Linked DNA regions of Tribolium castaneum. The protein of the gene in region 1 purifies or fractionates together with the protein of each later gene. This does not show direct contact. Links are inferred from orthologs where the notes say so. Each region holds a gene or a part of one and is shown in the gene's direction. Other genes may lie near its edges.

The links.
Region 2: the proteins of DNA polymerase epsilon subunit 3 (region 1) and Atac1 purify together in Drosophila melanogaster (affinity purification with mass spectrometry; 3 studies listed by BioGRID). This does not show direct contact. The link is inferred for Tribolium castaneum from reciprocal best matches to the Drosophila melanogaster genes Chrac-14 and Atac1.
Region 3: the proteins of DNA polymerase epsilon subunit 3 (region 1) and Acf purify together in Drosophila melanogaster (affinity purification with western blotting; 3 studies listed by BioGRID, with this or other methods). This does not show direct contact. The link is inferred for Tribolium castaneum from reciprocal best matches to the Drosophila melanogaster genes Chrac-14 and Acf.
Region 4: the proteins of DNA polymerase epsilon subunit 3 (region 1) and Iswi fractionate together in Drosophila melanogaster (co-fractionation; 4 studies listed by BioGRID, with this or other methods). This does not show direct contact. The link is inferred for Tribolium castaneum from reciprocal best matches to the Drosophila melanogaster genes Chrac-14 and Iswi.
Region 5: the proteins of DNA polymerase epsilon subunit 3 (region 1) and Atac2 purify together in Drosophila melanogaster (affinity purification with mass spectrometry; 4 studies listed by BioGRID). This does not show direct contact. The link is inferred for Tribolium castaneum from reciprocal best matches to the Drosophila melanogaster genes Chrac-14 and Atac2.

The regions. Positions count from the first base shown.
Region 1 is NC_087394.1:1,507,582-1,512,196, reverse strand, and holds DNA polymerase epsilon subunit 3, read left to right. Parts: upstream 1-2,199; 5' UTR 2,200-2,271; coding exon 2,272-2,542; intron 2,543-2,590; coding exon 2,591-2,700; 3' UTR 2,701-2,716; downstream 2,717-4,615. Other genes in the region: centrosome-associated protein 350-like, read right to left, coding at 312-1,850; E3 ubiquitin-protein ligase LRSAM1, read right to left, coding at 2,833-2,952, 3,004-3,227, 4,106-4,224, 4,276-4,439, 4,491-4,615. UniProt on the Drosophila melanogaster protein: Accessory component of the DNA polymerase epsilon complex. Participates in DNA repair and in chromosomal DNA replication. Histone-like protein which promotes nucleosome sliding of ATP-dependent nucleosome remodeling complexes.
Region 2 is NC_087394.1:37,102,978-37,108,876, reverse strand, and holds Atac1 (ZZ-type zinc finger-containing protein 3), read left to right. Parts: upstream 1-2,258; 5' UTR 2,259-2,443; coding exon 2,444-2,593; intron 2,594-2,640; coding exon 2,641-2,757; intron 2,758-2,860; coding exon 2,861-2,995; intron 2,996-3,044; coding exon 3,045-3,147; intron 3,148-3,194; coding exon 3,195-3,307; intron 3,308-3,353; coding exon 3,354-3,665; intron 3,666-3,717; coding exon 3,718-4,170; 3' UTR 4,171-4,248; downstream 4,249-5,899. Other genes in the region: beg (probable malonyl-CoA-acyl carrier protein transacylase, mitochondrial), read right to left, coding at 691-858, 909-1,136, 1,184-1,401, 1,456-2,062; b(0,+)-type amino acid transporter 1, read right to left, coding at 4,941-5,008, 5,063-5,234, 5,282-5,528, 5,579-5,806, 5,855-5,899.
Region 3 is NC_087396.1:20,817,735-20,823,909, reverse strand, and holds the start of Acf (bromodomain adjacent to zinc finger domain protein 1A), read left to right. Parts: upstream 1-2,179; 5' UTR 2,180-2,417; coding exon 2,418-2,530; intron 2,531-2,665; coding exon 2,666-3,013; intron 3,014-3,069; coding exon 3,070-3,622; intron 3,623-3,669; coding exon 3,670-3,840; intron 3,841-4,777; coding exon 4,778-6,175. Other genes in the region: mRpL40 (large ribosomal subunit protein mL40), read right to left, coding at 257-370, 413-782, 827-904, 953-987; Polr3F (DNA-directed RNA polymerase III subunit RPC6), read left to right, coding at 1,076-1,245, 1,296-2,031.
Region 4 is NC_087402.1:7,784,188-7,790,356, reverse strand, and holds the start of Iswi (chromatin-remodeling complex ATPase chain Iswi), read left to right. Parts: upstream 1-2,406; 5' UTR 2,407-2,570; coding exon 2,571-2,621; intron 2,622-2,702; coding exon 2,703-3,284; intron 3,285-3,638; coding exon 3,639-4,889; intron 4,890-5,122; coding exon 5,123-6,169. Other genes in the region: Rpi (ribose-5-phosphate isomerase), read left to right, coding at 154-855; uncharacterized protein LOC660873, read right to left, coding at 1,560-2,081, 2,130-2,132.
Region 5 is NC_087396.1:22,635,093-22,641,240, forward strand, and holds Atac2 (cysteine-rich protein 2-binding protein), read left to right. Parts: upstream 1-1,904; 5' UTR 1,905-1,973; coding exon 1,974-2,194; intron 2,195-2,247; coding exon 2,248-2,385; intron 2,386-2,436; coding exon 2,437-2,588; intron 2,589-2,640; coding exon 2,641-2,822; intron 2,823-2,869; coding exon 2,870-2,937; intron 2,938-2,982; coding exon 2,983-3,170; intron 3,171-3,435; coding exon 3,436-3,729; exon of another isoform or gene 3,730-3,774; coding exon 3,775-3,956; exon of another isoform or gene 3,957-4,008; coding exon 4,009-4,179; 3' UTR 4,180-4,256; downstream 4,257-6,148. Other genes in the region: serine/threonine-protein phosphatase 2A regulatory subunit B'' subunit gamma, read left to right, coding at 496-541, 590-1,857; MrgBP (MRG/MORF4L-binding protein), read right to left, coding at 4,257-4,837, 4,885-4,972.

The DNA.
Region 1 (4,615 bases):
TACACTTTTTTTGACTTGTTTTGATTGCATTTCTCAAATTTACTTATTCTCTTTGTAAGTAAATAATAAGTAAACACCTTTTTTTGGAAAAATATTTCGATTTTATTTTTTTTTTTCGGTGAAAAATAACTGCATTTCTGACTCAATTTTACAAACTTTGGTCTTACAATAATCCGCTTACTACATATTTTTAGAATCTTTTGTTGGAGTTTTTAGAATTTTCCGGTGAAAATTCAACCTTTTTTTCTTGAAATCAATTGAAATGTTTCGGTTCAAAACTGTTCTAAATGAGACAAAAAAAAACAACTTACCGTACTAGAACTTGGCCTAAGTGTGATATTTTTCAGCTGATTTTTACCATCATTTTGTGGCTTCTCCAAACTCAAAGACCTGTTGTTACTCGTATTTTCCTCGGTAATAATTTTAGAACTCGAATTCTTTGAACTTGTTTCCAAATTATTGGTGTTTTCTTCAGTTGTGATAATTTTACTCGTTTCCAAATGATCCGAAACCGATTCTGAATTTTTACCTCCAACCAAGAGCGATTTAAACGACTGTTTTTCTTGCGAAAAATTCGAATCCGATAAATAGTTTTTTTCACTAGCTGATTTAATCGTAACCGTGTTCATTTTCCCATTGGCAAGACTCAAATTACGAACCGAAAGCGAAACATTTGGTTGTTTCATCGTCAAAGATTCGGGAACCGAATCCGAATCAGAGAAATTTTTCGATACTTTTTTTTCAGTTAGGAGCGATTTAAATGAAACACTTTCTTTGTGAAAATCCGAACTGTAACTATCGTCACTTTTCTGCAACTTGTAGTTTTTCAATTTATCGAAATCGAGCTTTAGACTTTCACTCGAAATGTCGGGAATATTTTTCGAAGTATCCGACTCACTACCACTATCACAATTATTGAACAAATTTTTCGACACTTCTCTCAATTCTAAATTTTCCACAGGCTTCAAGTCGAGACATTTGTGCGAAACAAACGATCTCAACTCACTTTTGGCACTTTTAATCAACAGTTCTTTAATTTCTTCCCTCGATTTTGTTTCCAGGGGCGGAGTCCCGGAATTCTGCACCCCAATGTCGATAAAATTCCGGGGCGAATTCACAGCAAACTGCAATTTTCTCTTAACTGTGTTTATAAAATTGTACGGATACGCCGCACAAGGGGGCTCCAGCCAGGGCGCCCCCTTGTCGCACGTTTGCGTCTCTTTCGCCTCAGACGACGTTTTCGCCAATTTCTGGGGCTCCCGGGCCTTGGCCCTCGAAATTCTCTCGCTTTTTTGCGTCTTTTCGGAGCCCTCAGAAACTTTTTGTGCGGGCGACTTCGAGCGGTCGATTTTCGGGGGGCCCCCCTTGTCCTGTGACTTCGGGCGGTTGGTTCGGACAAGGGGGCCCCCTTTCTCCCGCGCCTTCGAGCGGTCGATCCGGACAGGGGGCTCGCCCTTGTCCCGCGATTTCGAGCGTTCGCGCTTCAACTGCACGTTTTTTGTCACCAGCTCGAGTGTTTTCTGGTGTAATTCTTTCAGTTTTTGCTTTTTCAGATCGAGTTTATTGTCAGTGGTGTTGATTTGGGCCCGCAATTGTTCGGCGCGTTTTTCCCGCTGTTTTTTGATGTAGTTACGCGCCTCGGTGACGTCATAACTGCGGGGCTTTTTCTCGGGATCGGGGGGCGCCTTTTTTTTAACGGTTTGGGTATCAGGGGCTGGCTTGTGGGTGGGGGGCTCAGGGGGCTGGGTCCCAAGACTTATGAGCTTCTCTAGCTCGGTTTTGAGCTGTTCGATCTCTTTTTTTGTGTTTTTTACACGAGTGCTGACATTTTCCACTTGGCTTATGGACATTTCTGAACCCCCTTTTTTTAGCGAATTACGACTGGAAATTGATTAGACTGACGTACAATTCACGAATTGACCCACATTTGTGTTAATTTAGGTGAGAAAATGCAAAATTAACTCACCTTTTTCACATATTTTCAAAACGTCAACCGTTTATAACATAACCTCAATAACCAAGGCCAACAAGGGTGAATAGTTCAAGGCCCCCCACCAAAACTGCAAAAAACAGCCCCTAAAATAAACCACCCCATTCGTCACGAGCCCCCCAAGCTTAATTAAACAAAAAACACAAATTTATAATTATTAGGTGACCAATAATAAACAAATTAATGATTTTTTAATCAAAATTCAAACATGGCGGTTGGCATTGCGCATGCGCGTTTTTTGTTTTTGGTGGGAAAAGTAATTTTGTGAATTTTGTGACCAAATGGCCGAAAAACTGGAAGATTTGAATTTGCCGAACATGACGGTGCAAAAGATAATTAAAGACGCATTGCCTGAACACGTCAGTGTTGGTAAAGACGCCCGTTCGGCCCTGTCAAGGGCCGCTTCAATTTTTGTCCTGTACATAACCTCACAAGCCACCAAAGAGGCGCAAAAAGTGAACAGAAAGACTCTTCTGGGTCAAGACATTCTAACAGCGTTAGAAGAGCTCGAGTTTGACGAATTCGTGGAGCCCTTAAGTGTGATGCTGAGAGGTTAGTTTTTTTTTGAGGTTATGTTCACGTTTCAAAAACCGACTTCAGATTTCAAAGAAGCGAAGCAGAAGAAGAAAGTGAAGAAGGGGGCCGACGTTGAAATGGCGGAAGACAACGACGAGGAGGCCGTGGAAGAGGAAGAAACGGGAGAATCGTAATAAAAAATAAATTTTTTGTGATAGTTTTTTATTCATGAGAAAAAGTAACAACTGACTAGATTAAGGCCACAAATCGTGCAGAATTCACACTTTAGCAACACTGAGCAAAAAAAGTGACGGCAGTTGAACGAACTATGAAATTATTCTAATTTTGCGTTCGATTGAAGTCCTGCACATTGGACAGTCGTTCAAGGTCACAGGACACTGGGAACAGCAACAGAAGTGTCCACATGGCACGAAAATCACCTCACACTGCAAAAAAAAAACACCAAAATTCGCCTTAATTTGAGATAAACAACATACAGTTGAGTCCAAACAAATGACGCATTCAGTCCCCAAATTTGCGACATTTTCGAGTGGTGGCGCACTTGCCTCTTCGATTGGCAGCACTGGAGCTGAGGGGGCCGTATCGGTCGGTATTTGCTCCTTTCGGTACATTTGGAATGCGTCTAAAATGTGGACCCGGTCCGATTTATTCACAATTCCCACTTCTTTGAGGTCGCTTTCTGTGATTTTTGCAACGTTGCCTGCAAATTGGTTAAAAATCGGGCCAAAGTAGGCACTGACTTTGAAATTTAGGTTGGCAACACTGACGGGCAAATAATTCGGCGTTGCCAACTTAAGCTCGATTTTAATAAAAGCGAAAATAATTCTTAAGAAGTCTTCATGTATGATTTTAAGCAAAAGTAACAATCACTAGAAAAAAATTTGTTGATAAACACGGAACTGAATGTTCGAAAAAGCTCAAAACATGATTAAAAACTCGAAAAATGGAAAAATCAAGTGGTTTTGGACCCCATTTTGTAATTTCTTGGCCGTACTTAATTAAATACTAATACTTAATTTTTATCTAGGTAATATTTATGTACCTTTTTGAGTGGGTTTCATAAAAATGAGCGAATATATAATAAAATATAAATATAAAAAAGGCAAAAATAACGCAATTTTTTGTGCTTAAATATTGAAAAGAAGCGAAAATAGCTTATTTTTTTATCAAAAGATGTGACTTTTGGCCAAGTTTTAGTAAAATCTCACAAAGCTATATAGTTTTTAGCGCAAAAAAAGTGAATATTTAGTTAAAAAACCGCTTTCAAACGCTGGAAAAACGAAAATAGCTTAATTTTTTTATCAGAAGGTGTGACTTTTGGCCTAGTTTCAGTAAAATCCCAAAGTTTTTTAGTTTGTAACAAAAAAATTACAGAAAATTAAATTAAAAAGCTCAAAATAATGGTAATTTCAAATAATTTTTGGCCAATTGTGGTAATTTTTGAGAAAAAAAGATATAGACATAATCATATTTTTTGACTTTTAAAACTAAAAAAAATAATGTCATTTTACTCGATTTTTCGGTTTGTTTGAGGAAAATCTCGCGAGAAAATTAATTTTATACTAAAAAAAAACTTACATTGACATTGCATCAAACTGGCCAAAAACGGCAAACAATTAATGACTCCATTCAGTAAAAGTGCTTGTGCCAGGAGCGGATCCATATTTTTTTGAGCCTCTGACAAACCTTCCGGAAGCCTGAAAAAAATTGGTAAAAAAAAACGACTAAATATTTTTTTACTTAGTTACTTTTCCAGCAAACTTTGGTATTGTTTGAGCCAAAAATCGTCCGAGTTGTTAAATTCTTCCAAATTTTGTAAAGTGGACAACAACTGATCCCTTCGTGCTTTCTGCTGGTCCAACAAGTCCATCAATAAACACGACAATTGAATTCTTTTCTCTGATAAATCATTCTATGGTTAAAAAAATTAATTGTGAAAACAGTTGAGTAAAAAAAAACGCACGAGATTTTCCTCAATTTCAAGTTTCTTTTTATCCATCTCGATGTGAGTCAGTGCTGCCAACTGTGACTCAACTAACTTCACTTGCTGCAACAGCCCCCATGATCGGGCGTCGCCCCTTTCTAGAA
Region 2 (5,899 bases), about 36 Mb from region 1:
CCCGGCCTACTTTTCCATTTTCGAGTCTTGTTTCATCAAACTCTCGGAGAAAAGCATCGGAACAAGGCAAAAATAAAAGTTCAGACATAATTTGGCCCTTTATCAGCTCTGTTTTCTCGATAAAAATGCAATAATACCAAAAATTGCTAACCTTATAGGTAGCGTCTCCCTCGCTTTTGAACCGGTCCTCCAGCGTTTCTTGGAATTCGTTTCCAGCCGGCAACCGATGATGTCATCTCGTCAGATTTCCAATAGAAAACTTTGATTTCAGTCAATTTGGCACTAATTACGCGAAAAACACTTTTTTAACAACACATAAAAGCAAAAACTTAACGACGCGCTTGTGAAAAAAGTGCGTCCCCACTAGACCACCGCGTGACATCAAGTCAGGACATCTCATTGGTTGGTTCGTCGAGACGTCAAATCGAGAGGCGCGCGATTTCAAATTTGCGTGCTCTCTACATTTGAGGTTCATTTTCGACTTTTTGCTCCAATAACCGAATTTCACAAACGAGCAATTTCGTTTAAATTATTTTTTTTCACCATTCGATAAATAATTTGAAGCACATTCGGATGCCCCTTTTAATTTTTGCCTTATTAGGCTTCAAGATAAAATGTTCGTTAATGGTTTTGGGGAATTGGAAAAAGAAAAAATAATAGTTGTTTCAAAAATTTTATTCAAAATAAACTCTACACTTGAATATTAAAACACGTAGTCCATGCTTTGGCATTCACTTGTTTAAGGATAGCCCTTAGGGACGTGCCTGGGCCACACTCAAACGTCCTTGGGAAATAATCCCCTTGACTCCTCTCATAAACAACATGAAGAAGTTGTTCCCACTTTACAGGTTTAACAATCTGGAGAAAGAAAAACTCAAAACACGAAAAAAAAAACACTTCTAAATTACCTGTTTCGGCAATTGTTTTTTGATCTGCGCTGCGTCTTTGTACTTTTTCCCGTCAACATTTGAATAAACACTAATTACAGGATTGCTCACTTCTGATTTATTTAATGCCTTTCGAAACGGTTCAACCGCTGGTAACATTAAATTGGAATGGAAAGCTCCACTAACCGCAAGTCTTTTAACTTTACGTAAATTTAATTCTTTGGCATTTTTTTCCAAATAATCAAGCGCCTACAATTAACTGCATAACAACTACAAAAATGAAGAAAAAAAATTACAGATTCGCTCCCCGAGATGACTTTACAATGGGGGTACAAATAATTGGCAATTTGACATTCGGGCATTAAGTCGCCTTTATCAGTTGCCCATTCCTTGGCTTTGACTAGTGCCTGGTTTAACTTCGTGTCAGGACCGTACATTACTGTGACCATCCCCCCCTTGTACGCCTCACTAGCCAATTGCATTGCTTCCCCCCGAATTTGCACCAATCGTAACCCTTAAAAAATTCCAAATAAAATTCAATTTTTTGCCAACTGGTTGTAAAATAAACCTCGCTCAAAACCAATCGCCCCCGCAAACACTAACGCTGTAATTTCCCCCAAACTGAACCCTGCTGTCCCCACACAACTCTCAATAGCCCTAGGTCTCTCCTCTTTCAGTCGTTCAATTGCCGCTAAAGAACTGACCATTATTGCCGGTTGACTATATTTTGTTTGGTCCAATTTGTCTTTGGGACCCTCAAGACACAATTTTAACAAATCGTACTTTAAAATATAATTCGCTAACTCAAACAAATCCCTAGCCATGGGGTACTTGAGCAAGTCATTGCACATACCGACAAATTGGCTCCCCTGACCGGGAAATAAAATTATCGAGGACTCGCGTGGATCATATTTAGGTTTTTCGATAAATGAGACACCCTGTTTGCGAATTTTGGTGCCTTGAGGGTATGGCAAAGTAGCCCATTGTTGTTCTTGTGTCTGGGGGTGCAAGTCTTCAAAGGTTGCTGATTCGTCGAGGAGTTTCTTTAGGGGAGATTCTTGCGTTTTTTTCTCATCACAGTTACGATTTGAGGACAGGGAGAAGGGGCGAAGCCCTACCAAAACACGATCGCAGTCTTTCAGAAAATTTCGTGTAATAATTTTAGTAAACATCATGGTATAATTAAACTGTTAATCAAGCAAAACACACAAAACTAATTCAAATAAAAACACATTTTAATGATTCAACTTAACCTCGAATGTCAAGTTGCGACCATATGACCGATTGTTCGCCCAATCTAAACTTTAATCCAAGACGCCAAATTTATCACCACTGATGCAAACTACTCTACTTGAGCTAGCTTTAAGGAAAATTAACGAAAATGAAGATCGGACGGAACCACTTTCGTAAATTTGGTCTTGTTTAAGGTTGTCAAAAGTAAGGTTACAGGTCAGCTGTCAATTTCACGTGTGTAGTGTTTATTTCTTGTATTTTTTTGTAAATTAAGTTATACGAGAGTGAATTGTGTAATATCTAGTCAATTTTTTACAAACAAAATGACAAATACGCAAGAATCGGACATAAATCCTGAAGAAGATTTGTACTATTTCGAAACGGATCACTTGGCTTTGAGAGGAAATAAGGACTATAGTGAGGTTCTTAAAAACTTGCTCATTCTGTGTGCTCAGAGAAAACAAGCAATAAAGGTAAAGTTGTGTGAATTTAGTTACGTTTCGATTAAAAAAGTCTTCAGGACTATAACAAAGCAGTAGAATTGAAGAAAGAAGCACTGGCAGACCCGGCCAAAGTCTTGGAGAAAATTATAAAAGGGGAGTCTTTGGGAATGCCAGATATGCACCGCATGCCTGAAGTAATTACAATTTTTTTGAGATTTTTTTCACCTAATTACATTAGAGAACAAAATATAATTTTTAATAAAGCAAGGAATATTTTGTTCATTTGGTGCATTTTAGTTGCCGGTTATTGACTGGTCAAAGTACGATATTAAAATCCCGGAGGAAAGTTTCAAATTGATTTATTCAGACGGTTCTGAGACTGTTAAGAAAAAACCCGAAACGCCGAAAAAAGAAACGAAAATTTCACATGGGGTAACACATTTTGTAAAATCGGTTCAAATAAAATTGCTTGATTCTATAGAAATGGACAACAGAAGAGCAGAAACGTTTAGAAGAATTGCTCCAAATTTATCCGCCTGAACCGGTTGAAATGAGACGGTTTAAAAAAATCGCTGATGCTTTAGGTAATTAATTAGGCGAAAAATATTAAAACTTGGTTAAATTTTCTTAGGTAATCGAACAATTCAGCAAGTCACGAGCCGAATTCAGAAATATTTTGTGAAATTGTACAAAGCTGGATTGCCAATTCCTGGCCGAATTCCAAAATCTGCCGAAAAACACAAAGTGAATTTACATTATTTTAAGGCACCAAAAAATTATTTTTTTGTAGAGAACGTCATTACATAAGCACCAGCGTCACAATCATTATTTATGGAAACCTACAACTTTTTTCCCCGATTTATGTGTTCCTGTAGTAATGAATGACTTGGATAATGTTCCTGGACCTAGTTCGAAAATTACAGATGAGATACAGCCTTCTACAAGTTCCAATTATCTCATACCTTCGGTTTATCACCAGGAGAGTGAGATTTTGCCCCAAAAAAGTGACAGTGAGTTACAGCTGGAACTTTTAAAACGGATACGAAAAGTTAAAATTAGGGAGAATGAGAGTGGGTCTAATTTCCAACACGTGGGATTTAAAGTAAAAAATAATAATAATTTAGCCAATTTTTTGGTGATTTATTTTCTTATAGTGTGATTATTGCAACGATGAACCAATAATTGGCACCAGATGGCATTGTAACACTTGCAAAAATGACTCAATTGATTTTTGTACAGACTGTGTTTTAACACAAATTTATTCCGATAATAGCCACCCTTTAAACCACAATTTAATCGCATGTGGTGATAGAGAAATTGAAAGTGATTCAGAGTCAAATAGTGGCAGTTTGGATCAAAATAACGAATCAAGTGATGAAGAAATGAGCGATATTTCGGATAATGTCAAGGACCAAGTGATGGCAAACGGAATGGACGAAAGCGAGAAAATTGATAATAAAAATCAAAGTGAAGAAATGCCAAAGTTGGAGTTTGGTAATTATGGTAATGACGAGTTTGTGGACGGACTTGGGTCCGATTTGTTCAGCGAAATTGAAAATCTTTCATACGATTATTTGCACTCGAATTTGTTGCTTGATAAGGATTGAACGTTTTGTTGTTGAAGATTTTATTTATTTATTGCCTTTGTTTGTATGTAAATTTGTGATTGCAATGAAAAGTTTTTTTATATGTTAGCTTTTCGTTTAACCCTTCAGAGCTCTCCTGAAAATCGACGTGATAACGTAACAAAAATCAATGAATAAAACTTTGTTTACAGCTTTGCAAAAATTAGTTACCTTTTTGTTGATCATTTATCTTAATTCTTACATAACTTTTTTAATATTATTCAGTGCGTGTTGTGAATTTTTGCGTGCTTTTAATACGCATTTATTGAAAGTGTTTTTTTTGGTCAAATATTTCGAATTTTCAGAGTTTACTCATAATTTTTTGTAAATAATGCATTCTAGACCTGATTAAGTGATTTCCTCCGTTGTTTTTACAAATTTCCTAAAATTTATTGATTTTTTTAGACTTAATTCTACAATTTTTTACCTATAGTTTAAGCAAAATCTTTCCAGTTTTTTTTTAAATTCCATTGAAAAACAGTTTTAAACAAAATTCTACAAGTTGAATTTAATTTATTCACTGCAACTAATTTATTTAACGTATCACTGACAACTTGACTACACTTATTATTTCATTGAGCGGTCTTTATTCAGTAAAATAAAATATGTATTTAACGTTCTTATCTGTCAAAAGAATAATAAATCATTTATGATGTTTTTATCGTTTCTTATCGTAAAAATACATTTCCGTTTATATTTCATTTTATTACAACTGCAATTATAAATTACATAACATCTCAATAAATAATTTCTTATGTAGCATTTGGATTATCGGGTGGCACAGCCGCGAATAAAATCTGAATAAAACGTGTAAACTTTCCTAAAAATTGCAACAATTAGTAAATTACCCCACAAAAAATTGTAAACCTCATACTCATCAACAATTCCGGTGTTCGCTTCTTGTAAACAAACCAATAATAAACCAAAACCCCCACCAAAATAAACGCCAAAGCGAGCAAATATTTCGGAGTTGGATCCGTAATAATGGGCGTAACACTCAAATAAATAGCTACCAATAAAACGAAAACACAAATCCATGTAGGCACCTGAAAAAAATCATTAAACCAAACCGAAAAAAAGATTTTATATGTACTTTGTAGGGTCGAGGAGCATCTTTCATAGTCCTCCTTAAGACAAGTAACGAGACAAAAGCCAGCCCGTAGAATATCCAAATGAGGAAACTAACAAATTCGATCAGTTCAACAATATCCCCAGCTACGATAAAAAGGAGCGATAAAATCCCCTGAGAAACGACAGCGAATGACGGAGTTAGACGTTCATGATGAACGAAGGAAAGACTTTTGATCATTAGGCCGTCCTGTCCTGCCACATAACACACCCTTAAATTATTTAATTCGTTAAAAGACACACAAAATTAATTTTTTGGTACCTAGTGACCCCAAATTGTATACTTAGGGCACATCCAAACGTAGCTAACGCCACTCCTAGTGGTATCAAAAACGCCAAAGGGCCTAAAACCCTTTCACCGAAAGTTACAGCAACAGCAGGCGAATTTATCATCTCAGGTATCGATAATGCGGTCATGTATGCCATGTTCATAAAGACATACAAACCGGTGACTATGGGAACACTTATCATTATGCTCCTCGGGATGTTTCTGCAATTATTCAGTCACGTTTTTGTTCAGGAATTAAAAATTACTCACACTTCAGGTCGTTTGATCTCTTCAGTGATTACAGTGACCGCAGAC
Region 3 (6,175 bases), on another chromosome or scaffold:
CGTAAATAAGCTAAATTTATTTTATCTCTTCGGTCCGGAACTGGGATCATTGTGCTGGGTTTGGGGTTTAGGGCGCCTTGAGACAATTTTACCATCAAATTACCAACAATAGGGGCAATTTTTATTATTTTGAAACGGTCGGACACGTAATTTGTTACGTAAACAATAATAAAAAGTGTGAATTTGAAGTGATTTTGAAGTGTGAATAAAACAAATTTTGTCTATTTATTATTATCCTACTTTATTTATTTCCTTTTCATTCCCATTTTTTCGAAACATCGGCATAATCACCGTCCGGGCTTTCGTAATTGTCGATAGCTGGCGTTTCCAAAGGCCCCTCGCTCTTAAAGGGCAATAATCTGAAATCAATCTGGACAAAAAAATATATTTTGCGAAAAAAAGCCCCAGTCACCTGCATTGCTTCCTGATACAACTCCTCCGACTCTTTCCGCAGCTCATCCAAGGCTTTTTGTTGCGCAAAGAAAATCCGGTCCAGCATTTGGACGTCCGTAAGATGCTCATTTTTCCGATAAGTGGCCCATTGTTTGTCCAAAAGTGCTCTTTGTTCCAATTCACTGTCAGAAAGTGCAGGCAAAGACCTCATCCTTGATTTTTTCTCATCTAACAGAGTGAGGGGCACTTCACACTCTTCGATAGGTTTGAACTGGCGCGCGTGCTTCTCCAATCGCCGGATTTGCTTCTCAATTTTCTTCTTCTTGCGGTCTTCTCGTGCTTTAATAACTGCAGGGTCTAGTTTTTTCTTCTTCTTCAAAGGCTCGGCCCTAGATAATTGGTGAATTGGGGGCCTCGTTTCGTTATTACTTACATGAGACATGGTGTTGCCCTAAAATTGAGAAAGACACTCGTTGCAATTCCCCGTCTTGGGCACGACTGGAGGGCTAGCCTAAAAAATGTCACAGTTAGTGCCAATTACTCCAAACTTATACCACACCTATTAAATGTGTTTATCAAAGACCAGGCGCTCATTTCTTGCCTTTTTTCCTAAAAAAAATCGGCAAAAATAGAAATAGGCCAAAATTTTGAGGTTAGAACATAACCTCACATAACCCCAAAAATGAGCCAAGCTACGAGTTCAAACAGCGAAGAGATAAGTAACGAAGACCGTTTACTGGAATTAGCCAAGGCCAAGCCTGAGGGGATTTCAAACGAGAACATAAAACAGGCAATTCCTAATTTACCCCTCGAAGAACTCGCCCTGATAATCAACAAGTGTTTAAAAAATGGGTTCGTGGGCGCAATCACCCCCTAATTCTATTCCTAACCAAAATTTTCAGTTCCTTGGAGTTGTTCAAGACCAAAGACAAGCTCCTCTACAAATACAAAGACTCGTCGAAGAAGCCCGCCATTCGGGGGGCCGACAACGAGGAAAAAGTCGTGTTTAAGATAATCGAAGAGGCTGGCAACAAGGGCATTTGGATTCGAGACATTCGCTTCAAGTCCAACCTCAACATGACGCAACTAAACAAAGTCCTCAAAAGTCTCGAGACGAAAAAAATAATCAAAGCCGTAAAGTCAGTCTCGGCCAGTAAGAAAAAAGTGTACATGTTGTACGACTTGGAGGCCGACAGTTCGGTCACGGGGGGCGCCTGGTACCAGGACCAGGACTTCGAGTCGGAGTTTGTGGACGTTTTGAGCCAACAGTGCTGCCGGTATTTGCGCCAGAAGTGGGAGGATGCGAACAGCATGGGGGGCGGCCCGCTCCTGGCCCGAAACCGGAGCTACGCCACGGCGCAAGACGTCCACAAATTTATTTCCGAGCTGGGGATTAGTAAAATTTCGCTGTCAGTGGACGATATTGAGAGCATTTTGTATACTGTTGTTTTGGATAATAACGCGGAGCGGATTGTGGCCACGAACGGCTCGTTTTTGTACCGAGCGGTCAATAAATTTATGCAAACACCTGGCATTGTGACAACCACTTGTGGGGTTTGCCCCATAGCCAGCAGGTGCGCCGATACCGGTTTTATTAACCCGAAAGTTTGTAATTATTTCACGGAATGGCTCGAATAAAGTGTTTCGCAACAAACTGGTGTTTTTTTTATCCCGTATTAATTAATTAAGGTTATGTTTGTGGGGGAACATAACCACAAAAAAGTGTGGAACATTTTGGTGGTCGCAGGTTTTTTAAATGTCCGTTCTTGGGCACAGCTTTTGGCAGTCACCTGCGCTCCGCGCATGCGCCGGAGCCCCGAAGCCGAAGAGGTTGTCTGTTTGTCATGAATGGTGTGAGAAACGCAATTTTATTGCGGAAATTTTCGGTTAGTTCGCTTTGAATCTCGCCATTTCATGTCAGATTTGGTTGCTAATCCATCAGTGTTGCGTTGTGTGTGTTGTAAATGTGGGAGCAATTCTGATTAGACTTGTTGTGGAGTCGTGAGTTTTCCCTCCAAATTGCGATGCCTCTTTTGAGGAGAAAGCCCTTCGAAAAAGCGCCGGTCCCGGAGGATATCCGCGATGACGAGGAAGTTTTCTACTGTGGGGCCACCAACGAGATTTTCCGGGATTACGAGTGAGTTTTTGCGGCGGGTTATTTGGAACGTGGTTGCTTTCAAACGCTTGACCTAACGGTCCACTGTACCTACGCCATCGACCTCAAATTTAACGCAATCGGAGATCGGAATCGATTCAACGCTTGGCTTTTCAGGGACTTCTCCGAGAGGATGTTCCTGTGCAATTCGATGATTTGGACATGTGCGATGACGGGAAAACCGAATTTAACGTATGCCGAGGCGCTGGAAAGCGAGGAAAACGCGAGGAAAAGCCTCAAAGAGTTCCCAGCTGAGCTCAAAATACCACTCCTGTACTTGGCGAGTCAGACAAAACGGACGTCCTTTGTTGACATGGCCGAAGACGTGTACTTGTTCACCAAAGACAGGTACTTTATCGGCGAAAACGTGGAAACCTCGTTCACGGAAACCAAGTGGAAGGACTCGCACGTGCTACAAGTCATACCGCCCCCAAACAAACAAACCAAATCGCCGACAAAAAACGGGTAAGTCCCCTGATACTAAAACGCCAAATTGCGTCATTTTAATCACAAACCGTTAGAAACACCAATGACAAGCACTGCAACCCCCCGGCGAACCTCTACAAGTACGAGATCGAGCACTTGGACGCCAACGATCACGACATAAGCGAATTTATGATCGTTGACTGCAGTCAAATGCGCCGCAAAAAGGGCACTTACTCGCGCGAAAAGTGCAAGCTGTTCCTTAAACAATACGCCGAGCAGGACAGTAGAGGCGTTTTCGTCATAAAACCCTCAGCTTTGAAAGCCTTTAATTTGGATAAAATCACTTTCGATAAAATTTTCGGCGGCCAACCGCCCGAATTCAGTCCGTCGAAGAAATTCGTCAAGAAAACGCGACAAGAATCGCTCGATAAATACCTCACGAAGAGTACCAACTTTGCGAAGAACGGTAACAATGATTTACTTGAGAGAATGAGGAAGAAGGAGGAGGAATTCAAGCAGGCCAGGCAGCAAAAGAAGGAGAAAAAAATCGAAATGAAGCAGAAGAAAAAGGAAGAGAATCTTCAACTTGCCAAACAGTTGAAGAACTGGAATAAGCCAAAAGAGGATCTGGAACTTGTCGATCAAAAAGTCCGTGTTTGGTTGCAAACGAATTGGAATTATTAATTTTTTTGTAGAAATTGCCAAAAGCTAGTCCAGTAAAACTGAAAATTGCCGATGAATACGTGGGGGACGTTTTAATGGTGCTAGAGTTTGCAAACACGTTTTCCAAACTTTTGCACACCAAGGATTTTTTCCCAGGGGGGCTCTCGCTCGAGATTATGGAGAGGGCATTGACAGAAAATGAGGTATTTTTTTTAAACAATTGTCATTTCAAATGGCTGAATGAATGGGAAAAAGAATCATTAATAATGTTTATGCAAGACGATTTTCTCCCGTACAATTTTAAAAAACTTGCACTTTGAAGCTAAAAATGGATTCCTTTTGTTATCAATTATTATTAAATGTTTTTTTAAGTTTTTATTTAATTTCTTGCCTTGTTGTCTATTTCTCTGGTTTCATATTTTCCGAGTCAAATTCGAGAGGGTTGCTGTTAACCGAATAAGGTGGAATTTTGCATACATACGTAATTTCTATTTATTTTTAAAACAATAAAAAAAATTCCCTCAAAGACCAAATTATAACACCCTAAAATCTTTAATTTCTGAGATTATTAACTGTTACTTTTATGCACCAAAACTTTCGGAATGTTTTGACAATATAAAAGACAACTTTTATGTAACTGAAATAATTTTTCCAAAACTACCAAAACATTAATTGTTAACGTACTTTTTCTTTTTGATAATTGTTAGTCGATTATTATTTTTGTTATAATAAAATTGCAACATAATTTTTTGTGTCCCGTCCGTAATCTCACTATTTTCTTTTTTTATCATACACTTTCGCTGTATTATCTGTTTTCATGAAAAAATCATTTAAATATATCTAGCCCCTCTAACATATTTGTGTTCTTTTGAAAGTATTTACAGTTTTTTACTTATTTTTGACACAATTTTTACTGTCCCGTCCGTAATCAATGATCTATAACGATTTTGGAAAAGTTGGCGGCATAAATATTTAACTTGATAAGTCAGTTTGAAAATAAAATTTGACACAATTATGTCCCGTCCGTAATCATGGAATGACTGTTTATTAAAAAAATAAAAAGTTATTAATGAATCTCGGTTTGACGTCCAGTGTGCCACTTCAGTTTTTTTTTTTGCATTATTTGGAACGTTGTTATAGGTGGCTGGCCCCCTCATCGACCTGTTCCAAATGCTGTTGCTCGCCCTTTTCCACGTGCAAGAGGAAGAGGCTTCTCAGTATCGCACCGAAACCGAGACTTTGAACCTGAAACAGGAGGAAATTTCCGATAATATGAACCTGCAAGAGGCCACTCGATTAGCGACCATTGCCGCCGGTTGGAGCAAAAAATACCAAGGGCTTCCGTTGGCCCAATTACCCCTCTATTCGGTTACGACATCGGAAGTGTTAAGATTACACCTGTTATCATCCGGTGCTATAATAAAAATGAGCGGCGCGAGATGGCGCTACCAACAACGAGGGGGTTACTTAAGCGAAGACGATCCCGGATTGTATTTACGTCTCCACAGCCCCCATATTCTCAAAGCTTTGAAGACCCACAACGTGGTTGAGTTACCGATCGTCGATAAGTTGCAAATTTTGTCGTGTTTGATGAATCAACTGTTGACGTATGCCGATGTTAGGGACGTTGTCGAGGAACGCATGGAGAATATTCGACAAGCGAAGCACGAATATAAAACTATTTTAAGCGCGGAGAAAAAGCGAGAACAGGAGTTTCTGACTGCGAGGTTCAAGCTGAAAAAATCGGCGAAAACGGACGAGAAAGCGGCAACTGAATTACGCAAGTTGGAGGCGGAAGCCGAGCATAGACGCATGGAAAACCAGCGGAAAATGGTGGTGTTACAAAAGGCGGTGTACGAGAAACAAGTCTTGTTGGGACAAGACCGGGCGTTTCGCCGCTTTTATCGCCTCGAGTCCATCCCTGGATTTTTCCTCAACTCGGAAGAGGAAAATCCAGGCACCTGTTTGAGCAATATTATCGAACAAATGCCGCATTTGGTCAATGCGACACGTGACGAGGTTTTGGACCACTTGAAGAAAACACTCAAAGAATCAAATTCCAGCGATAAGGAGAACAGTCCGGCGAAAAATCGCAAAAACGGACAATGCAACGGTGTTTTAGACCAGAAAATCGAACTCTGCGATGATTTAATGATGTGTTCCGCCAACCCCGACACTTGTGTCGTCCATTCGAACGAGCGTCGGAAAAATTTGTGGGGTTTCTACCACGAAAACGAACAAATCGATCAATTGATCGACGGTTTGAACAAGCGAGGAGTGCGCGAGAGTGAGTTGCAACAAAACTTGACGTATAACCGGGACGATATCGAGAAATTAATCCGCGAAACGCCCGTCAATAGCTTAAATTTCGAGATGGAAAGTCGGGAAGAACCCAAGCGGAGGAAAGTTAAACCTAAGTATGAAGACGCCAACTTGGGGTACCCCCCAGATATGACGCCCACCGACGTCTTACATAGCGCCCTCATCGAGAACATTCTCGAAATGGAGGAGAAAATCTTCGCCGGGAGTCTGGGGGCC
Region 4 (6,169 bases), on another chromosome or scaffold:
GTGCAATTTATCCGGTTTCCAGCTCGCAACTTTGAAAATAGAGCCACAAAAGGAAGCTGCAGAGGCGCATGAGCACGTTGCGAAACGTAAGTTGAATAATTTATCTTAAAATCCATGAATTTATTTCAACTTTTAAGGAGATCATTCGTCACGATGGCATCCCTCGAAAGTGCTAAAAAACTGGCGGCCTACAAAGCTGTGGACCTCCACGTGCAAAACAATTCCATTGTGGGTGTCGGCAGCGGCTCCACCGTTGTTTACGCCGTTGAGAGGTTAGCCGAACGTGTGAAAAACGAAAAATTAAATGTACAGTGTGTCCCAACGTCCTTTCAAGCCAGGCAATTGATCATCCAGCACAGGCTGCACCTAACCGACCTAGAGATACATCCAAGATTGGATGTTTGCATTGATGGTGCCGATGAAGTTGATTCCACCTTGACATTGATTAAAGGAGGTGGGGGATGCTTATTGCAGGAGAAGATTGTTGCTAGCTGCGCCAAGGAGTTAATTATTATAGCGGATTATACCAAAAATTCACAAAAGCTGGGGGAACAATACAAAAAGGGGATTCCGATTGAAGTTGTTCCGATGGCCTATCTCCCCATTAAAACGCAAATTGAAAACCAACTGGGAGGGACAGTTGAGCTCAGAATGGCTAAAGCCAAAGCTGGACCTGTGGTCACCGATAATGGGAATTTTATCCTGGATTGGAAAAACTTCCAGGATTATAAATGGGACACAATCAACACCAAATTGAATCTCATTCCGGGAGTTGTGGAGACGGGACTATTTGTTAACATGGCCAAGAAGGCCTATTTTGGGTTGGCCGATGGGTCAGTCAAAGAACAAATTTAATTCATCCATTGATTTATTTGAAGGAATGTTATTTAAAAATATATATTTTATATTTTTATATGTTGTATTTTCAAAATTAAATAAAGCATCTCGTGCAACACACATTTTACAATGGTGGTCTAACATGTGTAACCTTTTAACTCAGATTATTTGCCCACTCATCTTTGTCATGTTTCTACGCTTTATTTTTAACAAAAACCCGTATTTCTACTAAAACATCAAAAACAACTTGAATTTTATTTTTAACCCTTTTTTTCTCAGACAGGTTTTTCTAAAAACAATTTATTTTAGAAAAATGAGTCGATTTTAAAATTGATGTTTTTAGGAAAATCTGAGTTAGAAAAAAAGGGTTAAAAATCACAGTCAAATTCAACGTTGTTTTTGATGGTTTAGTAGAAATATATACGAGTTTTTCTTAAAAATAATGCATGAAAATTTGGAAAATGATTAAGACTGAGTTAAGAAGTTACAAATATTAGACTACTTACAATACTGACAATTTGTGCAACGGTGACTAGACGTTTCCAAACAATTAATTGGTACAGGGTGATTCACGCAAGACGACTAGACTAGCCTTACAATTTAATGCAAAACCAAATACATTTTAAACAAATTAAATTGCGAATAGGACAGGAAACTGTGCATTTAATTCTTGTAAGGCTGTCATTTTAGCATTTTACGAAATCACCTGGTATGTTTCCAACTTAGTACAAACTGGTTTTCTTCATAATTCGCAAGAATTCTTCCTGATTGATTTCACCATCTCCATCCCTGTCTGCTTCATCAATCATTTCTTGCAATTCTTCATCTGTGAGATTCTCTCCTAGTTCTTTAGCCACTCTTTTCAGGTTCTTAAAACTGATTTTTCCGGTCTCGTCATCGTCAAACAAGCGAAACGCCTTCATGATCTCCTCTTTCGAATCCTTTTCGGCCATTTTCATGGTCATCAATTGCAAGAAATCATCAAAAGACAGTTTTCCAGTTCCCTGTGTATCAATATCAGCAATCATTTTCTTGATTTCTTCCTTCTTTGGCTCAAATCCCAACGCTCTAATTGCCACCTTCAGGTCTTTGGCGTCGATCTTCCCAGAGCCTTCATTATCAAACAAATCGAACGCCTCTTTAATATCGTTCTTCTGCTCTTCAGTCAACTCAAATTTGGAGCCTGCCATCTTCTTACGAACTGAGGAGAGATTCTTTTTTAAAACAAAGGAAGGGGACGTCGTCTAAAATCAATACTAACGCCTAAGTACTTATTGAAAATAGTCAATTACCATTATCAGGAACGGTTTTATGTTTTTATTCCAAAACTGTTGATGTTGAGATAACACAACCAAACATCCGGCGTTTTAAACAATCTGACAGTCGGGACTACCAACATTTACAAGGCCACCGTCTAAAACGCTTTCACCGCCTTATGAAAAATTGTCTTTTAAAAATTTGTCCACATCATAAAATTCTCTCGTTGTTGTGGGGTGCAGCATGCAATTATTGTTGTATTTTCGCCCGAAAATGGGCTCAAAGTGTGTAGGGATTGTTGGTGTTTCACCAGTTTGACGCATTTGCCCCCAGATGCGGCCGTCCTGCGACTAGTTCGTAGTGTTTCCCGCTACGTATCGCTTCCGAATCATTAAATGAACGGCATTTTTCCAAATTATCGTCGTTAAAAACCAACATTCCGTAGTTTTAGCTAAGAATTTCGCGCACCCAGCACCATGTCCAAAGTGGAAGAAGGCGGTGAAACCGCTGACACTGGTGAGAATTCGGTAAGAGCCTTGTTGTTAAAACAACCACAATAGTAAAAGTAAAAACGGGTCATTGACTCTGCTTTATTTATGAAATTGAAGAATGCCTCGTCTTCGGACACCCTCTCGTCGCGTGGGAAGGGCGAAGACTTCGAGACCAAACTCGAAACGGACCGCAGCCGCCGTTTCGATTACCTGCTCAAACAAACCGAGATTTTCTCCCACTTTATGAACCAAAACAAAACGCCTTCGAAACCGAAATCGGGCCGTCCCAAGAAAATCAAGGAAGACCCAGTGGCGGACCACCGCCACCGCAAGACCGAGCAGGAAGAAGATGAAGAACTGCTGGCCGAAAGCAATGCCAAGGCCAAACCGACGATTCGGTTCGAAGCCTCGCCGCCTTTCATCAAGAACGGGGAAATGAGGGACTACCAAATCCGGGGGCTGAACTGGATGGTGTCTTTGTACGAAAACGGGATCAATGGGATCTTGGCCGACGAAATGGGGCTCGGGAAGACGCTCCAGACCATTTCCTTGCTAGGTTTCATGAAACATTATAAAAACACGCCGTCTCCTCACATTGTGATTGTCCCCAAGTCGACTCTAGCCAATTGGATGAACGAATTCAAGAAGTGGTGTCCCAGCATCCGCGCTGTGTGTCTCATTGGGGACCAAGAGGCCAGGGTAAGACCTGGTTTAGTTTAATTGTGTTTTGACTAAGGTTGGAAAACACAAAGTCCAACCTACGTAAAAATTTATAATATCCAAAAAGAGTGATAGGACAGAGCGCTTTCGCGATTACATTCTTCATCAGTGGCGTAAAAGGGGGCTGGTAACAGGGGGTTAAGGTTAAGGCCTCTTCCTTATCACTGTCAGTACAAAAATGATTAGAAGAGAGAATATGGTTGGAAAAAGTTGAAGCATCTTTATATTTTTCTATGAATTTAAGATGTTTTTCAACCTTAGTCATCATAACAACCCCGCTTTGATAGAATGGATCCTTTAATTCTAATTGTGTTTCGTTAATTATTTTTTTAGAATGCTTTCATTCGGGACGTGATGATGCCAGGCGATTGGGACGTCTGTGTGACTTCGTACGAAATGGTTATCAAAGAAAAATCAGTTTTTAAGAAATTCAACTGGCGCTACATGGTAATAGACGAAGCTCATCGTATTAAAAACGAGAAATCGAAATTATCGGAGATTCTCCGTGAGTTTAAAACAACAAATCGTCTCTTACTCACCGGTACCCCCTTACAAAATAATTTACACGAACTTTGGGCCCTCCTTAACTTTTTACTCCCTGATGTTTTTAACTCTGCTGATGATTTCGACGCTTGGTTTAACACAAACCAGTGTTTGGGTGATAACCAGTTAGTCGAACGCTTGCACGCTGTCTTGAAGCCGTTTCTATTGAGACGTCTCAAATCCGAGGTCGAGAAAAAATTAAAACCGAAAAAAGAACTCAAAGTTTACGTCGGTTTGAGCAAAATGCAGCGCGAGTGGTATACTAAAGTCCTGATGAAGGATATTGATGTGGTAAACGGGGCCGGTAAAGTAGAAAAAATGAGACTACAGAACATTCTCATGCAATTGCGTAAGTGTTCAAACCACCCTTATTTGTTCGATGGGGCTGAGCCTGGGCCCCCGTACACCACCGACGAACATTTAGTCTACAATTGCGGGAAAATGGTGCTTTTGGACAAGCTTCTGCCCAAATTAAAAGAGCAGGACTCGAGGGTTTTGATTTTTTCACAAATGACACGAATGTTGGACATTTTGGAGGATTACTGCCACTGGAGACAGTACAATTATTGTAGATTGGACGGACAGACGCCGCACGAGGACCGGCAACGCCAAATCAACGAATATAATGAGCCAAATAGCTCAAAATTTATTTTTATGTTGTCGACGAGAGCCGGAGGTTTGGGTATTAATTTAGCAACAGCAGACGTTGTCATCATCTACGATTCGGATTGGAACCCGCAAATGGACCTCCAAGCCATGGACAGAGCGCACAGGATCGGCCAAAAGAAACAAGTTCGTGTGTTCAGACTTATCACCGAAAATACAGTCGAGGAAAAAATCGTAGAACGGGCCGAAGTCAAGCTGAGGCTAGACAAGTTAGTGATACAACAAGGGCGTCTAATCGACAACAAATCGCAGTCTTTGAACAAAGACGAGATGTTGAACATGATCCGGCACGGGGCCAATCATGTCTTCGCATCGAAAGACTCGGAAATCACCGATGAAGACATCGACACTATCTTACAAAAAGGCGAAGCAAAGGTAAAATACTTAATTTCCCAGTACTAACAAAGTTCACCTCCTAACTACGTAGGAGACGAAACGAGATCTAATCTACTTTTTTTTATTTGCGTTGTATTCACAGTTATTTAAATACAACCATTTTTTTAATTTATTGAACTATCGAGGAGGTTTAAATTAGTATATCGTTTCGAATCCTCTAGTTATTTGTGCTCCTCCCTGACTATAACATTAATCTAATAAAAAAAAATTAGACAGCGGAACTGGCCCAAAAACTCGAAGCTCTCGGCGAGTCATCCTTGCGCAACTTCACTGTGGACACGCCAACAGAGTCCGTTTACAAGTTCGAAGGCGAGGATTATCGCGAAAAGCAGAAAAACATCGGTTTGAACACCTGGATCGAGCCTCCGAAGCGTGAAAGAAAGGCCAATTATGCCGTCGATGCCTACTTCAGGGAAGCTTTACGTGTTTCTGAGCCCAAAGCGCCGAAAGCACCACGTCCTCCTAAACAACCTATCGTACAAGATTTCCAGTTTTTCCCTCCCAGACTTTTCGAGCTTCTTGACCAAGAAATTTACTACTATCGCAAAACTTTGGGTTACAAAGTCCCCAAAAATTTGGAGTTGGGGCCGGAGGCCGCCAAGCAACAGCGAGAGGAACAGCGGAAGATTGACGAGTCTGAGATGTTGACTGAGGAGGAACAGCAGGAGAAAGAAGCCTTGCTCACCCAAGGTTTCACCAATTGGAGCAAGCGTGACTTTAACCAGTTTATCAAAGCGAACGAGAAATATGGAAGGGATGATATTGAAAACATCGCCAAGGAAGTTGAAGGGAAAACTCCCGAAGAAGTGATGGAGTATTCGGCAGTGTTTTGGGAGCGGTGTCACGAATTACAAGACATTGACCGCATCATGGCACAAATCGAGAGAGGAGAAACGAAAATACAACGCCGTGCTAGCATTAAAAAAGCCTTAGATGCGAAAATGGCCCGATACCGGGCACCGTTCCATCAACTCCGAATTGCCTACGGCACTAATAAAGGCAAAAATTATATGGAAGATGAGGATCGCTTCTTGGTTTGTATGTTACACAGACTGGGGTTCGATCGAGAGAACGTTTACGAAGAGTTGAGGGCTGCGGTCAGGGCTTCGCCCCAGTTTAGATTCGATTGGTTCTTGAAGTCTCGAACAGCAATGGAGTTGCAAAGACGTTGCAATACTCTCATCACGTTAATCGAGCGCGAAAACGCGGAATTGGAAGAAAAGGAACGGAATGAACGGAAGAAGAAAGTGTCCAAGTCC
Region 5 (6,148 bases), on another chromosome or scaffold:
TACTTGTGCGGGATTTGCTTGGGCGATTGCCCGCATTCCTAACCTCCTTTCATACTTGAAATGGATTTTAACACCTGGCGCTGGGGCTCAAAACCGACCCCTCCATGGCTTCATGACCTTGCAAGGGGGGCACCAAACACCAGACACCAATTCACCCACGATTCTGACACGGCTTTCGCACAATTTCTCAACATTTGACAATTTATTTAAAAGGACACAGTGGCGCAAATCGGTTTGACGAAGGAATGCGGCAGTGTCTAACGTCACAACCACACACCGACCAATTTTTCACACCAAATAATCACGCGAAATTAACTAATTACGAACGTACCTCACCCCACATAACGCATTTATTCGATTTTTGGCGCAATTATCATAAAAATTGTATAACAAGGCCTCCAAACCCAAAATGTGGTGACCTTAGCCACCACCCGCCATTTTTTCAAATTGTCACAATCACAAGTTCACGGTTAGGTTTATTTTTTTGCGGACAAAATGGATTTAAAAACACTACTGCGGGAAAAAATAACGAAAAGTGGAGGTAAAAATTAATTCATTTAGTTAAAATTTCGACTGGTAATTTTGCCAGGTGCGAAAAAGTCGCCCCCCGAGTTGGAGCAACAAGAAGACGAGTACTTCCAACACTACATGAAGCAATATTGTGACAAACCACCGAACGAAACCACGGGCATTCCGCGTTTTTACAATAAATTACCGAAAGAAGATGAGCCCCTAAGGCAAAAACTGCGCGAGGAGAGCCGCTCCAATTTACTGAAACGTAAAAGTCAAAACTTGTTGGATAACAACGAATTGAAGGAACTGTGGGTGATTTTGGACCAGAACCAGAGCTACCCCGAGGAACAGTTGATAACGTACTCCGATTATCAGAAGGTGGTCACGCTGGTGGGGCCCAAAGTCAAGCCCTACTTCACTTCGGTCGTGTTTGCGAAGCTCCAACAGGGTGACCCCCAGGGCAGAGTCTCGATCATGTCGCTTTTTAACTACGTGATGCGTAAAGTGTGGCTACAGCAGACCAGGATCGGGTTATCGCTGTATGATAGTACGGGACAGGGTTACTTGACTGAAATCGACTTGGAGAATTATATCACTGAGTTGTTGCCAACTTTGCCGCAACTTGAGGGACTGGAAAAGTCGTTTTATAGTTTTTACGTGTGTACGGCCGTTCGGAAATTTCTGTTTTTCCTCGATGGAGTGCGTGCGGGTCGTGTGCGGATTTTAGACATTTTAGCTTGTTCGTTCCTTGATGATTTACTCGAATTGAGGGACGAGGAGTTGAGTAAAGAGGTGCAGGAACAAAATTGGTTTAGTGCCCCTTCAACGTTACGTATTTACGGACATTATCTAAATCTTGACCGTGATCACAACGGAATGTTGAATAAATCTGAACTTGCGGGTTATGGCTCTGGGACTTTAACGCAGCCCTTTCTAGACCGCGTTTTTCAAACGCTTTTGACTTATTCCGGTGAAATGGACTACAAAACTTATCTAGATCTAGTACTAGCTTTGGAAAATCGTGCCGAACCACAAGCTCTTGCTTTTTTGTTCCGCATCTTAGACATAAATAATCAAGGCTACTTGGACTCTTTCACTTTAAATTATTTTTTCCGAGCGATTCAGGAGCAGATGAGGGCCCATGGGGCCGAAGCTGTGTCCTTTGAGGACGTTAAAGACGAACTGTTTGACATGGTCAGGCCTAAAGATCCGGAAAAAATCACCCTGAATGATTTAATCGCCTGTGGGCAAGGGGACACTTTTGTCAGTATTTTAATCGAGTTTCACCGCTTTTGGGCCTACGAGAATCGAGAGGCCGTCACGGCGGAGCCCTCCCAAGACTGATGTTACAATAAATGCAATTTTACATAATTTTCGTCCATTTTTTTCAAAAACCCGCCATTATGGACGTCAATCACGTGACAATAATCTCGAAGTGAGGTTGTGTTTACAATCCAAAAATGAGCGAAACTTGCAAAATCTGTAAATATTGCACAAATAAATTGGAAGATTGTCTCGACGAAGGCCTAACGTGCAGTTCATGTTCGCAAAGTGTTCATTTGCGGTGTCTCAAAAGTGGTTGTGTGCCTGGGGGGCTTCACGGCGATATTTTTTTCACATTCACTTGTGAGGAATGTTCGGAGGCCGGGTCCGAGTCGTTTGTTAGGGAGAAAATGTCTTGGTAATTAGAAATGTAGTAGGTATTTAGGGCGTTCCGTGGACGAGTTCTTTTAGGTTAAAAGTATTAGTTTTGGCTTTGTATCATTTGCAGTCACGAAGTCCGGGTTTGGGGCGCAAGGGGTACTTCCATTGGAGGAACCACATAGCGTCACTAATCGACAAAAACTGGGAGAGTCTGTTTTTGAAGGATTTGTAAGTTCCAACATTTGATTATCACATATTTGTAATTGTTGGTTTTTGTAGTAAAAAGAAAAAAAAATGGGTTGGGACCGTTGCTGGGACTTTATCGCACTTCAGTACGTATTTTTTCAAGTCGGGGACTTCGGTCGTTAATGAACCGGCTTGGTGGGCCCTCACCTACCCCAAACTCACCCCTAACGTAATTTCAAATTTATGTAATTGAGTGAAATAATAATTAAAAAATCAGGAGTGAAAGTATAATTCCAGATGCTGCTCTCACGAACGAGAAGCAAAAAACGAAAATTTTAAAAATATCAGTCTCAGACACTGAATTATTCACACAAATTTTACACAAAAACATCAAAGACGATGATTTGCTAACGCCTTTATTCACTGTCGATGTTCCCAACTTTTCGGAAAAAAATCCAGACGATGAAACCAATAAAAAGGTACAATTTGTTACGTTTTGAACTTACAAATCATCCATTGTTTGTAGATTACTAAAAACTTTACCGTAAATAAAAGAAAAAGTCTTTTACCAACATTTGAGAGCACGTCCAAAAAGTAAGTTTTTCTGTTCAAAGTCACAACATAACAATGCAATTCTAGACTCTTAAAAATGAATAAAAACTCGCCGGTTTTTTCAAACTTAGGTGATGAATTAACGCCAACTTATCTCAAACAAAACGAGCGAAATTTGGGCGAAGCTCAGCCACGTAATAAGCCCCCAAGTGAGCAAAATAAGGAGTCTGTGAAATTGCTCGACCCGTTTTGTCACTACAACACTTGCTTTAGCAGTAAGTCAAGTGAGAGGTGTGCAGGACTAAAGCTAGGAGGCAAGACGAGATTTTTGTAAATATTGTAAAGATTCTGATTTATTGAAAAAGTTGAGAAATTAAGTTAAGTTAAGAAAGGTCATAATTGAATAAAAAAATCTGCCCAAGTACCAATTCCAAAAGGTTATTTTGCGCTTAAAATTTGCTCGATTTTTCGTCATGCCACCAAATATTTTGGTCCCCCATAGTCCCAGGGCTTAAGAATTTACTCCAAAAATAATTTTAGACGCGTTTAGGCAGAAAGGAAGCGAAATGAGAGTCAGGTTGATGGGTGGTATCAGAAAAGAACTAATTCTCTCACCTTACAGCAGCATTTATTTAAAACCTTACATACGAAGAGATACAGAAACTTATCCATCCTGGCTACGCCTAATGGCCGAGATACAAATGAAAGCAAACGAAAAAACACAAAATTACGTTCTACCTCCAAGGGCCCCTATTGACTACACCTACGTCCAACCTGAGCACATACCTGCCATTAACAGTCTCTGCAACAACTTTTTTTGGCCAGGAATCGATCGTAAGTGTCCGAAATGTTACAACACAATTTAATTTTTTGTTGCAGTAACTGAAAGTTTGCAATATCCGGATTTTAGTTGCGTAGTTTTGTACAAAAAATTAATAGTGGCGTTTGCGTTCCTCGTCCCCAATGTTAAATACACCGAAAATTACGTCTCTTTTATTTTTACACGGCCAGGATGGCGAAACGTCGGGATTGGAAAGTTCATGTTGTATCACTTAATCCAAGTAATTGAAAAGTCGATTTTTATTAAACTAGTTGGTTAATTAATTATTTCAGACAAGTCTCGGCAAAGATATCACACTACACGTGTCCATCAACAACCCGGCCTTGTTTTTGTACCAAAAGTTCGGTTTTAAGGTGGAAGCAGTCGTTTTGAATTTTTATGATAAGTATTTACGCGAGACAAGCGAATCGAAACATGCGTTTTTCTGCCGCCTTGAGAGGTGATGTTGCTCCGAGTTGCATCGTGTTTTACGTAATTTATTGAGGCACTTTTTATTAATTTTAATAAAGTGAGAAAGAAACTAAATGCGTCGCCTTTTTGTCACTGGTGGTGTGACTGTGATTGGACTAGATTTACCACTCGAACTGGAATCGTCAGGTTTAGAGCTGCCTCTAGTAGGGCGCTTCGTCAGTTTTGGTGTGTCGTCACTTTTCGCTTTTGCCTTGTTTTCCTCCCTTGGTGTACTACTATTACTCTTACCTTTACTTTTACTCTTTTCAGCCTCTTTCTTGATTTCTTTTTTCGCACTCACTGGGGTTTTGTCCTTACTGTCTTTACTATCACGCCTTGGCACCTCCTTACTGCTCCTCACAGGAGTCTTTTCATCTTTTCGCAATTCCTTGAGCGACTTGGGCGTTTCGCGCCCTTTCTGCGCCAATTTCTTGTCCTCTTCCTTCTTCACAATGAGGGAACCGAAGTCGGAATCGGGAAGTGTGAACTCTTTCTCACTATTCGGGAACGGAATCGACTCACTCTCATCCAAAGCTTCCAAATTGTACATTGTCTCGAGGTGGGCCCACACCTTGTCCGAGTTGATCTCCTTCTGGCAACTATCAGCGAACTTGTCACAGATGCACGCCATTTGGAAGTACTTATTGACGCCTGAAAGGGGGCTTCAGTTTTTTAGGTTAGGTTCGTGGGGGACGTACCGACGGGCTTGTGCCCCACCATGGCCTCCAGGAGCTGCCCCTCGTGCGCCACGTTCCACTCGATCTCGTCCATGGGGCCCTTAATCATTTAAAAACGGAATTAAATTATTTAAAACGCCAATTGACAAATGACTGTTTGAGGGCGCCACTGCCGCCATCACGGTCAATTTGAAATTTTAATTAATCTTTTAGTCATTATTGTTTTACAGGCCACAGATGTATTATCAACTACATTAGAATGTTGTTAGAACACTTCAACATTTTTTTTTTGCAAAATAAATGCATTCAAGTCTTGACACACGTTTTTTTGTTTGTGACCCTGAATCCCGTATTTTCCTTTTTCCTTAAAAAAAATTTAATTTGAGCTCGTCAAAGTACCGATAGTTATTAAAAACACGAGCTACAATGTTGGTAAATGATTTACTGAAGAGTTTGTCCAAAGTTTCAATTTAAAACTGCCGGTTTGGGGAATTTGGCGCCGTGTGCGTGGTGCTCTTGTCAAATTTTGGCGCAATTTGATTCAAATCACGTTTTTTCGTCCTGAAAAGTCCGAGACGGGAACAGAGCCGGACTTGTGGAGCTCGGAATTCGCTTCGGGTGTGGGCCGTGCTTGGAATGATTGTGAGCAATGTGGGTCCGGTCCCCGGCGTTGATTCGGGGCCCAAATAAATAAACAAGACATCCCGGAACTGAATTAGCCGCTCCGGTGAAATGGAGTCTTCGGTTCAACGTTCTGGTTGCGGTCATTGCCTGGTATCTTGTCAGGCGGCTCTTCTACAACACCGGTATATAATCCAGCGTTGCCTTGTTCAGCCTTGCCTTCAAGAATCGATCGAGACAGAGATGGAGGAAAAAACGGCCAAAAATGACTGAACTCGTGAACGCTGGAGGCTCCAGCTTTTATGTAACGCTGCTTTTGGTTATTTTGCAATTAAACGGGCCCCGGGACCTTCACTTCCGAAAGGGGGCGAAAAGAGGGCAATAAACCGTGACTTGTGATTATGGACGTGTTGACACTGCGACCCCCGGTGTCGTATAATTATGCCCGATCGATTGTTTGGAAATGGAAGTGGAATAATTTCGATTCAGTAAATTCGCCGCATTACTATTCGAATTGTTGGCCCCGGAAGGGTCCGGGTGGCTTTGTATGCTTAGTTTCAAATGGTTTTTATCGATGAAAGTCAACAGCAGATGTTTGTACGCGAAATATTCTGTAATTTACATTACGGTAAATATTGGAGTTGTAGTCATTTTGCAGCTCCTA